2 linked regions of the Mytilus edulis genome follow. The protein of the gene in region 2 purifies or fractionates together with the protein of the main gene of each other region. This does not show direct contact. Links are inferred from orthologs where the notes say so. Each region holds a gene or a part of one and is shown on either strand. Other genes may lie near its edges.

The links. Proteins that work in one complex are often made in the same cells at the same time.
Region 1: the proteins of RNA cytidine acetyltransferase-like (region 2) and THUMP domain-containing protein 1-like purify together in Homo sapiens (co-immunoprecipitation; 3 studies listed by BioGRID and IntAct, counting the BioPlex papers as one, with this or other methods). This does not show direct contact. The link is inferred for Mytilus edulis from reciprocal best matches to the Homo sapiens genes NAT10 and THUMPD1.

What each region holds. Positions count from the first base shown.
Region 1 is NC_092352.1:15,219,449-15,226,879, forward strand, and holds the start of THUMP domain-containing protein 1-like, read right to left. Parts: upstream 3,010-7,431; 5' UTR 2,888-3,009; intron 504-2,887; 5' UTR 497-503; coding exon 293-496; intron 1-292. Other genes in the region: uncharacterized protein, read left to right, coding at 3,042-3,100, 7,021-7,431. UniProt on the Homo sapiens protein: Functions as a tRNA-binding adapter to mediate NAT10-dependent tRNA acetylation modifying cytidine to N4-acetylcytidine (ac4C).
Region 2 is NC_092350.1:32,050,341-32,057,509, forward strand, and holds the start of RNA cytidine acetyltransferase-like, read left to right. Parts: upstream 1-4,147; 5' UTR 4,148-4,437; exon of another isoform or gene 4,438-4,483; intron 4,484-7,169. Other genes in the region: meiosis 1 arrest protein-like, read right to left, coding at 933-1,096, 1,606-1,663. UniProt on the Homo sapiens protein: RNA cytidine acetyltransferase that catalyzes the formation of N(4)-acetylcytidine (ac4C) modification on mRNAs, 18S rRNA and tRNAs.

The DNA of each region.
Region 1 (7,431 bases), on a different chromosome or scaffold from region 2:
ATTCTTATGTGTCTGTCCCATTGGTTGTCCATGAACCTTGATGAGTCAACTGTACCATATGGCATATTGTTTGGATTTTCCCCATTACAGAAGGCCGTACCGTACGGTTGCCCATAATTTCTTGTCCACTTCTTTTGAACTTTTATGGATAGTTGTCTCATTGACAATCATGCCACATCTCCTTATTTTTATATCACACTACATGCTGAAATAGCAAACTAGAAATAATGATTCCTAACCTGTCCCTGAAAATACTACCATTAAAACAATTAAGAGAAGCTGACAAACATACCTCTTCTGGTCCGTACAACTTATCAGCATATTCATTTAACAAGTTGTACATTTCTCTAACAGCTTGTTTCTCGTTACCATTACAAGTGACAAGGAATCCTCTCATGTCTGTGTCCAGGTTGTTTCCATGTGATACTTTCTTGTGAGCACATTTTAAATAATAAGATTTTGGTCTTTTCTTTCCCCTTCCTTGTTTGTCACTCATCTTTTGTCTGAAGAAAAAATCAACATAGAGTTTATTTGACCACAATATTAGCGAAATCTATAATATTAATTTCATTCTAAGACATGGGGGCCATTTTAAAAAAAATGAGGCAAAAGTGTGACAACTAGTCAGCAAGGAATGAGTGAAAAACAATTATGTGCAAATTGTAATACATGAAAAGGATTTATAATTAGATATAAGAAGATGTGGTATGAGTGCCAATGAGACAACTCTCTCATCCAAGTCACAATTTGTAAAAGTAAACTATTATTATAGGTCAAAGTATGGTCTTCAACACAAGGCCTTGGCTCACACTGAACAGCAAGCTATAAAGCCCCAAAAATGACATGTATAAAACCATTCAGTTTCTGGAGCTATTTTCTGTATGTCCCGTGCTCAGAATTCCTTATCTAGCCCTATTTAGTGTTTTGAGGAATATTTTTGCCAGCTTCCTCACTACTAATTCACAGGAATTGCTTTGGTGGTCTCATGGTAGCTTGTTTGTTAGCTCTTAGGTTAGAAACCCAGGCCTGGTCAAACCAAAGTCTAAAGCTGGACAGTGGTATTTGCTGCTACTCTTTCCCACGTTTAACAAAATGTAGATTTATTATAATGACCAATTTATGTCATTTATACTCCAAAACAAGCCACCCAACTTATAATTATTTCCATGCCACTGCATATTCATGAATTTAAAGAATTTATACCATATAAATATGAGGGTCGTAATAAAGGGTACTATCATGATGAATAACTGTAAAACAATTGACATTAAGCACTGCTGTCATTAGGGAATTGTACTTATTGTCCTCTTGCATCGTGGAAAGAATAATACAATAAGTTGTCAGGCTGTGTATAGACTGTATAGGTTGTGTGGTCTGAATGTTCATTTAACTTTCTCCCCCAAAATAGACAACATTTTATCAGCAATTCCGTACCATTTCGACTGGCTTCCCTTGGCCAGAGGTACTGCTTCCAATCGCGTCAGGAATGCTGTAAAATGTTTCGGTCGCCGAGAGTAAAGGACAAAGTATAAATATCGCTAGTCTATATGTTGAATTTGAACTATGTATCGTTCATCAAACTATCGGGAATGGCCAGTTTTCTGTAAAAATGGTTGTATCTCGAGGGTTGTATGTTTGATTACCATATTTTCGGGAGCTTAAGATTGAATTTAAAGAATACGAAATCGGGCAATTTAATTTCAAATTAATTCTGTAAGAGAGAAATAATTTCCTATCACTGTTCTTTTCCTCCTTAAGGCTCGTATTGAGTTAAGATGGTCCGTTATTATCTATTTCTCTTCTAGTGTTTGATGGCAGCATTCTCGGAAGGTTCCTGTGGGTGCCTCAACAAAATATAACTTTGTTTACTGTGTGCGAATGGCTAGTATGATTAGCGCTGGTTGCAACGGCGGTTTCCTTACGGAATGCAGGGGTTCACGATAAAAAATAAAATCAATTACAAACGAAAGTGAACCAACGCCTGGTGTGTCTGTAGTACGGTAGAGTCTTATAACAACAACACTTTAGGGACTGCTGCAAAAAATTTATTGATCGACATGTTTTGGTGCCTAGGGCACTGTCATCAGGATAAAAACAATACATAAAATCATGCTGAAGAACAAAATCGGGTTGTTAAAATTTAAACGTCACAATGTTACAATGGTAAGTAACGTTATTAATAGCAACTGAAAGTGAAAGTGAAAGTTCATTGAAAGTATGGAAGTAAACTATAAAAAGAAATTAAAATAAAATGTTTTTGTTGTGAAAATGTTTGTTAAAATTATTCTGCCAACATGTGTTTGTCCTCTTGCATCGTGGAAAGAATAATACAATAAGTTGTCAGGCTGTGTTCATTTAACTTTCTTCCCCAAAATAGACGACATTTTATCAGCAATTCCGTACCATTTCGACTGACTTGACTGGAAGCAGTACCTCTGGCCAAGGGAAGCCAGTCGAAATGGTACATAATTGCTGATAAAATGTCGTGCTTTTTCAGCATGATTTTATGTATTGTTTTTATCCTGATGACGGTGCCCTAGGCACCGAAACATGTCGATCAATAAATTTTCTGCAGCAGTCCCTAAAGTGTTGTTGTTATAAGACTCTCTACACTTTATGTTTTTTATCATAACGACCCTGCATACCCGGAGAGATATCCACTTTATGGACTCTACCGTACTACAGACTCACCAGGCGTTGGTTCACTTTCGTTTGTAATTGAAATTATAAAATTGTTTGGGTTTTTTTTTTGGCTGATTGGTGAAAATATAACCATCACAAATTATACAGGTCATGGAATTATGTATCTTAACTATATACTGAATACATAAAAAATAAAGAATGTAAAAGTGCTTGTCTTTGATTAATAAAGCACAGCTGTGTTTACCTGTTTTTGATGCAAACAGTGTTCTGTATTGTGGAAAAAAGGAGTGTGTGCTTTTGAGCTTCAACATGTATGGAAAGATCTAGAGAAACTCAAATTGCATGAAAGAAAAGGAAATAATCCGAGAAGTTCCGCAAATATTTCCCACATTTTAAAGATGGCGGACGTATCTTTAGATGATTACATTCAGAAAAAGAACTTTACTGTTCAAATTAGGTACTGAAAAAGCATTTAACCTAATTCTTAAGAGATTCTTATCTTTTCACCAACAACAAAATAGCAAACAACATTTTTGTAATCCAATAAACGGCCAACGAGTAGCATTACAAGGAAAACAAAAACCAAAAGTAGTTTCATAGAAGAGAAAGCAAAATAAATATCATGAATATTGATGATTTTAGGAAACGAAAAGTGATTTTTCATAGCTACCCCACAATTAACACTGGAAGTAAACATGCACAATTTTAAATCTAATTCGATTTTATATATAAGAAAATCATGATTGTTTTGTGTTATAAAAAAGATGTGGAATGATTGCCAATGAGACAACTCTCCTCAAGAGACCAAATGACACAGAAATTAACAACTACAATGTATAGGTCACTGTACAACCTTCATGACTGAACAAAGCCCATACTGATAGTCAGCTATAAAAAGTCTGGAAATGAAAAATGTAAAACAATTCAAACGAGAAAAACTAACTTCCTAATTTATATTAATTTGCTTTGATGTCAATACACCTTATCGCTAATCCCGGCTGACCCGACCGCTTGAACTTTTGATGCATACAACAATCACTTTTCCATTGTGGCGTCAGATATTTTGTTTTATGACGTCAAAATTTTACGGGAACCTGTGTGATATCCAGTAATGGCGGACAAATAGCGATAAGGTGTATACTGCATGTGCAAATGTATTTAGCTTGGTATAAATAAATCTGAAGATAAATTAAACTAAACAACTTGGCCTTTGATCTCACTTTATCTATAGTAATACACTAATCAAAACATGATTAACAATGAAAAAAAAACATTTATATATACTAAACAAAACTCGATTAAAAAATTATTGGTGTCAAATTATTGAGAAAAAAAACTAATAAAAAGGTGTAAAAGTGAGAGGGGGTGAACGCAACCATATTCACCAAACAGTGTATTTGATTGTAAATTGTTGCAAAGCTTATGATAGTAAGTCTTCTGTATAAGAAAAAGATTGTTGATAATTACGTCCTTTTGTACGGGTGTAACGCATTCACAAAATACCAACTCGAAACTGGTGTATTAATCTATGAACACTATTGATGTATTACACTTTCACCAGGACAAAACAAGATATAAATTGCAATAAGGACTATATATATATATATATCCATTCAGGAAATTCACCTCTAGGGATTCAAGAGTGAATATGATTAACAGTTTAGTGACAGAATATTATTATGTATCCTCCTCTCAATTATTGAAACCTAGACTTTTAGGTTACAAATCATTGTGTCTTCTCTTTACATGTAAGTTTAACTAAAAATGTCAAGGAAACGTCTGATTTAACAAAGAACAGATTTCATCACATCTATTGGGTAAAGAGTAACCATTATTTTTGTTGTCTTGTTCACTTTCCAATTATATTTATCCTTTGGTGCACTGCAGTTGTTGTCCCTTTGTCCAGGACCTTAGTCTATGGACCCAAATGCCTCACTTTTCAACCAACAATAATAGCTGCGTTAAGTGTTTACAATTTTATGTTGCTATATTTACCTCAGGACGGCAAAATCCATGAAATCAGATCTAGTTACAACTCCACTGCTTGCGTCCATTCAAAAGACCTTTTTGTGGAAGTGTTCTTGCCTTCTCTGAAAGACTATAATTTTATATGTATACTAGAACACACCCGTATATCGCGGATCCGTGACTGAATTAAAGTATATAACTATGTGCAAGCCTTATTTTAGTATTAGTATTGTCATCTGATAAAGTCATGCTGATTAATAGACCCTGTTCACACTAGCATTTTTTTTTATCGATCTAATTTGAATCGATCTAAATAAAACCAGTTAGCGTTCACATTATCTTTAATCATATCGATCTCTATCGGTCTAATATGAACCACTGCGTTCACACTACAATTAAAAACCAATAGAACTAAAACCGTAAAACTATAAACATTGTGCATAAATAGAACTGATTAATCAAATTCATGTGCTGATACACTGATACACACACTTGGAAAAAAAATGGATAAATTTATTGTTTCTCTTGAATCACAATTTAAAATTTTGATACTGGTGTTATTGTAGTTTTCTTTAATTTTGAAAAAAATAACTGTAGCAACGAAGTTACAACACGACGCCGGAAATCCTGCGGTTCCTGCAAAGAAAAAAAATCAACATAAGAAAAGAAGACACAGATTTCGCAAATCTATGCTATGGCGAAGACAACATGTTTACAGTTTGTTTTAAAGGTCTTTTAACAGAAAAATATGGGTTAAACAACGAACCTCTGAGATAGTTGTGCCGCTATACATGCGTATACGTTATTTTCGATTCAATCATACTAGTTTAAACCGATCTCTGCGTTAACATCTAAAGTAAGATCGGTTTACTTTAGATCAATTCAAACTAAACTACCTCTTTTGGTGTTTTAGTTTAGACCGATTGAAGATCGATTCAATGCGTTCACATTAGCCCTTAAACCAATCTAAAGTGAACCGGTCTAGTTTAAATCGATAAAAATGTCCAAGTGTGAACGGGGTCTTTCACAGTTTTCTCTGCTTTCAAATCTTTCTGTTTGAACCCGTCAAACTGGAACTTATCAATTATTGATAATATTAAAATTATTTGGAAAACAAAAGGTCCTGGAATGGAGTATTTTTTAATCAACAGCATTGTCCTATATTAGTTATAAATATTGAATTCTTTGATTCGCTGTTTTACGTCATGCCCGCTAACAAATTGAAAACTGTACCTATACGCCTTATTTTAGTCCAGATTTTTTTAGTATTTGTATTGTTATCTTAGAAAGTCTAACTGATTAAAATACTACAATAGGTAACAATTTGACAATTTTAAAAGTAGTGTCAACCCTGTGATTATGACCCGTGTAATACTATATAGCATATTAATCCTGAATACACCGTTTGGTGGTGCGCCTGTCAGATGCGGAACGTACAGATAAGGTAATCGGTAACAGGTGAATATACTATTGGTATCGTTATCGGACTCGACCCAGAACTTCTTAATTATTGACAATATTAATTACGCGGAAAACAAAAGGGCCTGGAGTGGTGTAATTTTTAATCTACAACTTTGTACTATATTAGTTATATATAAAGTTGATTTTTTTGATTCGTCGTTTTTACGTGATGACGGCTGACAAATAGGACCTCGTAATTTTAGTATTATAGATGTACATTGACAGTGTGTGCTTTTATGACAAAATATGAGAAATAAACAAGTACTAGGTAAATTTTACAAAGAAGTGAATATCCTATAAAATTCTTTCATTACATGTATGCAGGGTTCATATTTCATGCATTTATATTGAGAAAATTGGAAGCCAAAAGTTAAATCTGAAATATATGAATCTTTGTTTTGTTACCATTTAAGATAGAGCAAGAGTTTATTTCCTCTTGATGGAACTTCTATTTACACAATAATTTGTCATTCACTCAGCAGTATAAGTAAATTTCGATTGAGGTATTTTAATTTTATTATTTCATGTGTTATTCTTATCATACTACCTACATGTATGTAATACAAAAGAGTTATTTTCATTTTATATTCAGTATTATTTCTTTCCTTGAAGACTAAATGAAAACATGCAGCGAGAAATGAAAAATTTAACAAGCCAGCATTAACTGTAAAGAACAGTCACAGTTTAGTAACTGTACATACTGTGTCAATAATTTGAAGATATGTTTAATTTTGGCTTCTCGATAACCAGAAAAGCAGCTTTTCAGGGCCAATGAGGGGTTTAACAACTACTATCAAAACTTAAATTCTGTTGGAACATATGTATATTTGCAGTAGATTCAATCTCGTAACTGTTGTGAATCTGTATGCTATTTTTTTTAACGAGGGTTGTATGAAACATTGGGCTGCAACTTCTTAACTATGTAATTGATATCAATTTTTATTTTAGGAATACTGGAAATGAAAGCAGAGCAGGCAAAAGTTTTGTTAAAGGAAAAGTTAAATTTCAAAAACAGACAAATCGGTCTCCAAGGACAAACAGAGTAACATTTAGAAGTCCAAAGAATGTTATGATGCAAAAGCAGAGGAATGGGCGTTTGTCTCTGCAAACTAAAAAGAATAACATTATGTCATTACAAACTCGTAAAAATAAAGGACTACAGGATAAATCGAATATCAAACCCATTTCTGTGTCGTTTCAAAATAAAAATCTGTCTGGTTTTAATAAGACAGCTTTCGATGCAAGAGACAAAATCGCTGCAGCTAAACGTCCAAATGATGCACGTGACAAACTAGCAGCCAAAGCTAAATTATCTGATGCTAGGATGAAAATTCAGCAAAATAAAAATAAACAGAACAA
Region 2 (7,169 bases):
AAGTATTGCATATGTTTTTTATAACTCAATGGATAGTTTTCATTGTAAAACTTATGTACATATACTTTTTTCTGAAGAAAATTCTTTAATTTATTCATATTTAGAAGAAGTTTACATTATTTGAATTGCTTCCTTCCAGCAAGCAATTCCCCCGATATATTTTCCGTATGCAAGATGACCTCAGTGTGACCCATCTCGTAAAAATCCGGTGACCACAATACGCCAATCTCATTAAAATCCGATGTTCTGATACGCTACCCTCCACTAACGTGAGGGTAGCGTATCAGAACATCGGATTTTAATGAGATGGTAGCGTATCAGAACATCGGATTTTAATGAGATTGCACAATACGCATGGATGTCCTTAAAATAAACTATTATCTGAATTTACATGTTAAACACGTGCTCAATTTCCATGCTTTTTTGTTTATTTTTCGTCAATTGTTGACAAACAGGTGACAATCGTTAAACTTCGGCTTTAAAACACGAACTTTAATTACCTGCCATATTTTCACAACAACACTGACCGATTGAAAAAAACAATTGACGATTATACGATATTTACACGAAAAAAATGATAAATTCGAGCACAGAAGACTAAGTTTATGATGTTTGTATGTATTGGTTTAAGAATTGGAAGAACAATATTTTTCACCGGTCACTCGTTTCTTATGACTTTAACAGTAAAAGTAGTATTAATAAATAAAATAATTTTGTCATTCAAAGTATTACAAGATACATAAGTAAAAGCAATATTAATAAATAAAATAATTTTGTCATTCAAAGTATGATGGGATACATAAGCACAGAGTCACGTCAAATTGATATCTTAAAAAAACAGACTTAACAGTAAAAGTAATATTGATAAAGACAAATAAAAGAATACTATAACACATTATTAAGATAATAAACAACGTGAATATTTAACATACCTCTGGATACGATCCAAGAGACATAAGACTGAAAAATGGCATCCTTGATGGTCCACCAATGTTTGTAGCAACAGAGAACACATTCTCTAAGGTCTGACATAAATCATTGACCAGTTCTCTAAATGTTAATAGTGGATAGGACGTGTCAACCAACAACATTCTGGCTGAAAAATAAATTATACTGTACTTTTATTTGTGGCATACCAATTTTTGTGATTTTTGTGGGTGGCTTCATCAACATGTCCCAACGAAATATATAGCAACTGTTGTCAAAATACAGACATGGAAAGGTCCCCATGTATACTATAGATTTGACTTGCTACATGGTTATGGGCATACAGTATAGAGAATACATCTAGAATATAAGCAAAATACTATGAACTATATATATACAACTTCAGACAGAATTTTACCAATTTAATCTTTAAAAAAAACAAAAGGATAAAATAAAATCCCATCTTAACACCTCAAAATACCTATCTTAAAAATAAAAATGACCAAAATAAAGAATTATGAACTATGTCATGACATTAAAAATTAGCATTCTTGAACATAACCCTACTCACATCAGATCTGTTAAAGGATAAAAAAAAAACCTCATAATAATCTAATTGGTGAAATTGCAGGTGGCTTCATGTCAAATAAATAATCTGCATTTGTAAAACATACTTACCAGGTTGTTTACCAAGCAGCATCCTTGTACCCTCTATTTTTTTCATGTTGCCTGCCATATCAGCAGATGATGTTTAAGTGACTAGATAATAAAATATCACATCTGTATTGTCTTTACTGCCATCTACAAAATATAACAAATAATAAAAGTTCTCTTAAATATATGGAGAAAGACTACATTTTGGTCTCTTGTGGAGAGTTGTCTCATTGGCAATCATACCACATCATCTTTTTTATATATATATACAGTTATTCAAGCAAAGTGATCATAACAATATATCAGAATAAGAAAATATGATAAGATTGACAATCAGTTAACTATCTATCAAAGACAAGGGATAATGATATTTAAGTCCTCAACAAGTTACCATTCAATGGATAATGATGTGTGATAGGTGTTTAACATCCAGTTGCAAATATTACATGCATATTGGGACCAAGACATGGTTTCTCACCTTGAAAAATAAAAAAAATGATTTCCTGTAAATAGATGAAACTTTGAATATGTTGTTATTTATTTGAACATGTCTTCAAAGTTTAATTGCATTAAATAACTTTTTATGGAAAAGGTAATACTAATATCCCTAGATGATATGAAATAATTTACGGATTGCGAATGTAAGTTGTTACTTGAGAGATGAGTAATAATATCAAATTATACTTAATATCTAATAATTTTGTCATTCATCTTTTCTTAAGTGTAAGTAACAATGAGTAATTTGGGAAGATGTATTAACTGATGTTTGCTAAATGCCCAGTGGCAAATATTTCATGAATGTTCAGAATAAGAATTTGTAAATGAAATACATTAATATAAGTGTACTCAAGTAAAAATGTACAGAGTCATAGATACATCTACTATGGTGCATACTTATACTCTGTAAAATGGGGATACTAATTAAATCAAAATATTATTAAATTTATTTCAAATATCTATGCATTGGATGAAAATGTACATGTAACTAATTTCTGTTATGCATTCATGTGTATCCCCTCTTAGACCCAAATGTTTTTTTTTCTAATTTGGGCACCAATTGTAACTGGGGAGCATGATTATTTGGACTACGGTAGATTTAACTAGATTCAACATACAAAAAATACAAAATCATCTTTGTCTCCTCTGGGAGGCAAACATGGGACCTCTGTGTTACAAGGAAGAGTGTAAACTGACTAAGCAATAGAAGAACTTCTTAAGCTCATCCGCTAAGGTAGAATATACTGCATGTACTAAGGAGAGCAATACACCTTATCGCTAATCCCGGCTTACCCAGCTGCTTGTACTTTTGATGTCATACACAATCACTTTCCATTGTGGAGTAAAATATTTTGTTTTATGACTTCAAAATTTTACATGGAACCTGTGTGATATCCAGTCCTAGCAGACAAATAGCGATAAGGTGTATCCTGTAACACTATCAAGCAATATATATCACTGCATGTGGTCACTAGTGCTTTAAAAAAATCCTGGGGAATGTCACCGTGAGCTCCAATGTTATTAAGATTAAACAAAGACATATATATACACATATCTTTCATATCTGAAAGAGGTGTCAAACAAGGCGATGTTCTAAGCCCTTTACTATTTACTATTTTTATTAATAATATTGTTGAAAATTTAAAAAACAATAGCACAGACCCTGAAACATTGAAAATAGATTTTAAATATTAACATGAAGCAAGTAGCACTAGTAATGTGTTCATATATGTCTTTTGAAATATATTGTGCAAAATAAAGAAAATAAAGATTGGTTTCCTGTCACGTAAACGGTGAATCAAAATGTATTAATTTTTTCTTAAAAAACTCAATTGTTCCATTAATACTATTCTAACACCAACACAACCCACAGAATAAAAGTTAAAGTTTTAGAACTTATAAAAAAAGGATACAAAAAGAAACCAAAGTCTGAATACTAAATTATGGTCCATATATCTGTATATCAAACTATTACTTAATAACAAGTGTAGAAAAACACTTAGATTAATATCATCTTTTATTAATCAATCATTTGAATTAAGGAAAAATGTACTTATAAATGAGTAATATGAACAATTTGAAGCTATAACATACAATATACTTATGTCAGTAGTCTATTAACCTATATATATTGATATTTATAACTGCACATTTCATTGTTCATAATGTGCACAATGATATACTATGTAATATTGTTTAATTGCTGCATCATTACTATTAGTATAATAGTTGTATGGGCCGTTGCCAATTATTGTAATTGAGTTTGTGCCAATACAATATTTGTATGTCTCTGGATTAAAATTGGGGATTGAGACTGCATGCATGCTTCTCAAAACATGGAATAAGTATTGCTGACTGGCATTAGGCACCACCAATCATTTACTTTGTAGAAATAATGTTTTAGTATCAACTCAATCTTTACTTGGCTAGTGCTTAACTAAATGCAGGTGTATCAATCTATTTTTGTTTTGCAGACGAAAAATTACAAACAGGAAGTTCATAAACTAATTTGAGAAATGCTTACTGAAACGGTCAAGATATTCCGGAAACATTTTTTATGAATTTTTAAAAATGCTATGGCACCACACGACCAAGTAGGGACCAAGTACACTATTGGTATTTGAGTAACAAAATATATAAATGTAAAAAACTCTTCAAGCCGCAACATTGTGGTGAATGACAAATTCAGTGAAATTGTGTTGAGAATATTCGATTTGTCGTATCCGATATGTTTCGCCTCCATCTCCGAAGTCGGTTTATTACCGGAAGCACGTGTTGAAAAAGCAAAACACAAATGTTTACCACTGTACTTCGTTTTTGTGAACATCGAGGCTCGAACATCTACATACTGCGTGACAAGTAAGACAGTATCTCACTGTAAAACATATTTTATATGTAAAACAATGTAAGTTATTCATACAAACCAGGTTTTAAAACAAAAACGTTTGATCTCAGAAAAACACCAGTTAACAGGTCAGGAATAACCACCAATTGGTGGATTATACCTCAATTGACGTATAATCCACCAATTGAAGTATATTGGTATAGACCAATTGACGTATAATGCAATTTTTTTGTAATAGAATGCTAGTGTGAGATAGGAGCATGATTTTGCAACTTGCAACCTATTTTATGGCCCTTATTGAGTCCTCTGAAAGTTTCAGTTTTGTCAAAGCCTGCTGCATCTCTTGTTACATCCCAGCTCCTTTGTTCTAACAGGGGTGATCTGAACCGGATCACCCCTGCCAGATCACCCTAGTTTGAGTTTCTTTGTTATGCATGCTTTCCTTTGTTCTGTAACATTTTGGCGGGAATGTCAAATCCACTATAAAACTTATAATTAATTTTACGGAAAAGACTATCTATCAAAATTCACGTAGAAAAATCCAGTAGATATGCTGGGATTCGAACTCAAGACCTTTAGCATATCAAGCCACGACACATACCACTACACCAGGACGACTTGATACGAAATAATAGTAATTTGACATACTTAAAGGAAGCAAGATATTTTTATTAGTGGGGCGAGTTGTCAAACCTTTATTCAGTGGGGTTTTAACCTTTTACGTTAATTTGTGAGTTTTCAGACTGATTGTTCAATTTGATTTTACACTTTTTCAAAGTGGGGCAAGTCGGTAAACAAGATTGGGAGGATATTTTTATAAAGTGGCGATAAAGCGTGGGCCGATTGGCAAGTGGGTCGAGTTGACATTGTTTGATATCTACTCATCGTGTTTGGGGGTCAAAAAGGGTATACATCATATAGTAATATATAAAGTATATTGTTATGGTTGTGTGGCGTTCTAAACTAGATTTTATGAATTGTAAATGGTTTTTCGTCTAATCTAAAACAGCTGGGATGTAAAATAGTTATCCCAGTCGGACTTGGTGTGTCAGTGTTAGATCACCCTCTGGCCTCCGGCCATCGGGGTGATCTTACACTGACACACCGCGTCCTTATGGGATAACTATTAAAGAATGCATGTGTACAACAATTCTTTTGTTGAAACATTTGTACTATTGACCATGATTGACTTTTGATAATGAAAGTCAAGTATTAACAAAGAGCTCCATTCACCTGTGGAGTTGTACTCATGATCGCATGACTGCAGACAGTAATGATGTCCATTGACAGGTGATTACAGGTAAATTTGCCAATCAAGAATTGACAAGATAACAATAGAAGAAACTGCAAATACAATTATTGATTAAATGCAATATGTTATGTCACTATACTAAACTAGGAATGTTTGACAAGTTTTCATACCATAATATGGTTTTAAGAAAACAATGCTCCATTTTGATAGAATAATTTCTTTTGAAAAACAAAGAATTATACACCAATTGGTCTATACCATTATACGTCAATTGAGGTATAATCCACCAATTGGTGGTTATTCCTGACCTGGTTAAGACAGTTTTCTCACAAATTCACAAATGTAGCCTAATCTTTCTTAATACTCAAGTATATAACCAAAACTCACACTGTTGCTTCTGTGTCGGTCTGAATAACTAGAAATATGAATTTGAATTCAGTATTAGTCGAAATAATTTTGACGTCTGGCAAGGCAAAATTAAAATAGCCTTGCCGTCATAATTAGTTGGACTAGTTCAGTATGTGACCGGAGAGCATAAATTTCATTACAAAATTGCTCGTCACCCAATGTCTGAACCTAGGTCTCTGTGTTATAAGTCTTTTTTTTCTTTTATTCAACAACAGTATTGCTCGCTGTTAACAATTACTACACTACTGTGTTACAAGTCAGTGTGTATACCCACTGAACTAATAAAAGTAATTCCTTAGCTCCACTGCTTACGGCTAACTTTGCATCTACCACATTTTACTATTTATGGAAGCAATCCTGTTACATGTCCCCACCTCAAGAGTGATTATACTCTACAATGATGATATATTCATTTTTATATATATTATTCCCGGGCTAGGTAATATTCCTCTAACCGTTGGTTTTATTGTTGGGTGCCAAATGTAATGGGAGAGCATGATTCTTGTTACAAAATCATTTGGGACTCAAACCAGGGAAGTCTGTTATAAGGCAGTGCGACAGATATGTGCCAACTGAGCTAAAGAAGTACTTCCTTAGCTGAACCGCTTACGGCTGACTAAGTATCTATTTTCTGCAACAAGTTAGATTTACAGTTTTACATGCCCAGGGAGAAGTGCTAACAACAGAATTGCAATGTTTCCCACTCCTGAGAAAGATATTATATAAAAATGTAAAAAGATGTCCGCAAATATCAAAAATCATCAAAAGGACCTTGTATTAAGAGCTACGTTTTCGCAGCTATGTGTATGGATGAAGTTACTCAAATCTTTTCATGTTGATAAATTGAGTGTAGTTTGCTTAACATCTAGTGACATCTTTTAATGCTGATTGACTTGAGTGAAGTTTACTTATTGACTACTGTGGATTCATTTATTTTCGTGGGTACCAATTTTCGTGGTTTGAGAAAAATTTGCATATTTGTGGATATTTGATTTCGTGGTTTTGCCAAAGTCTGCACACATTCCTTCAGGATATTTGTAATTCGTTGAATATTTGAATTCGTGGTTCTCATGTACCCACGAAAAT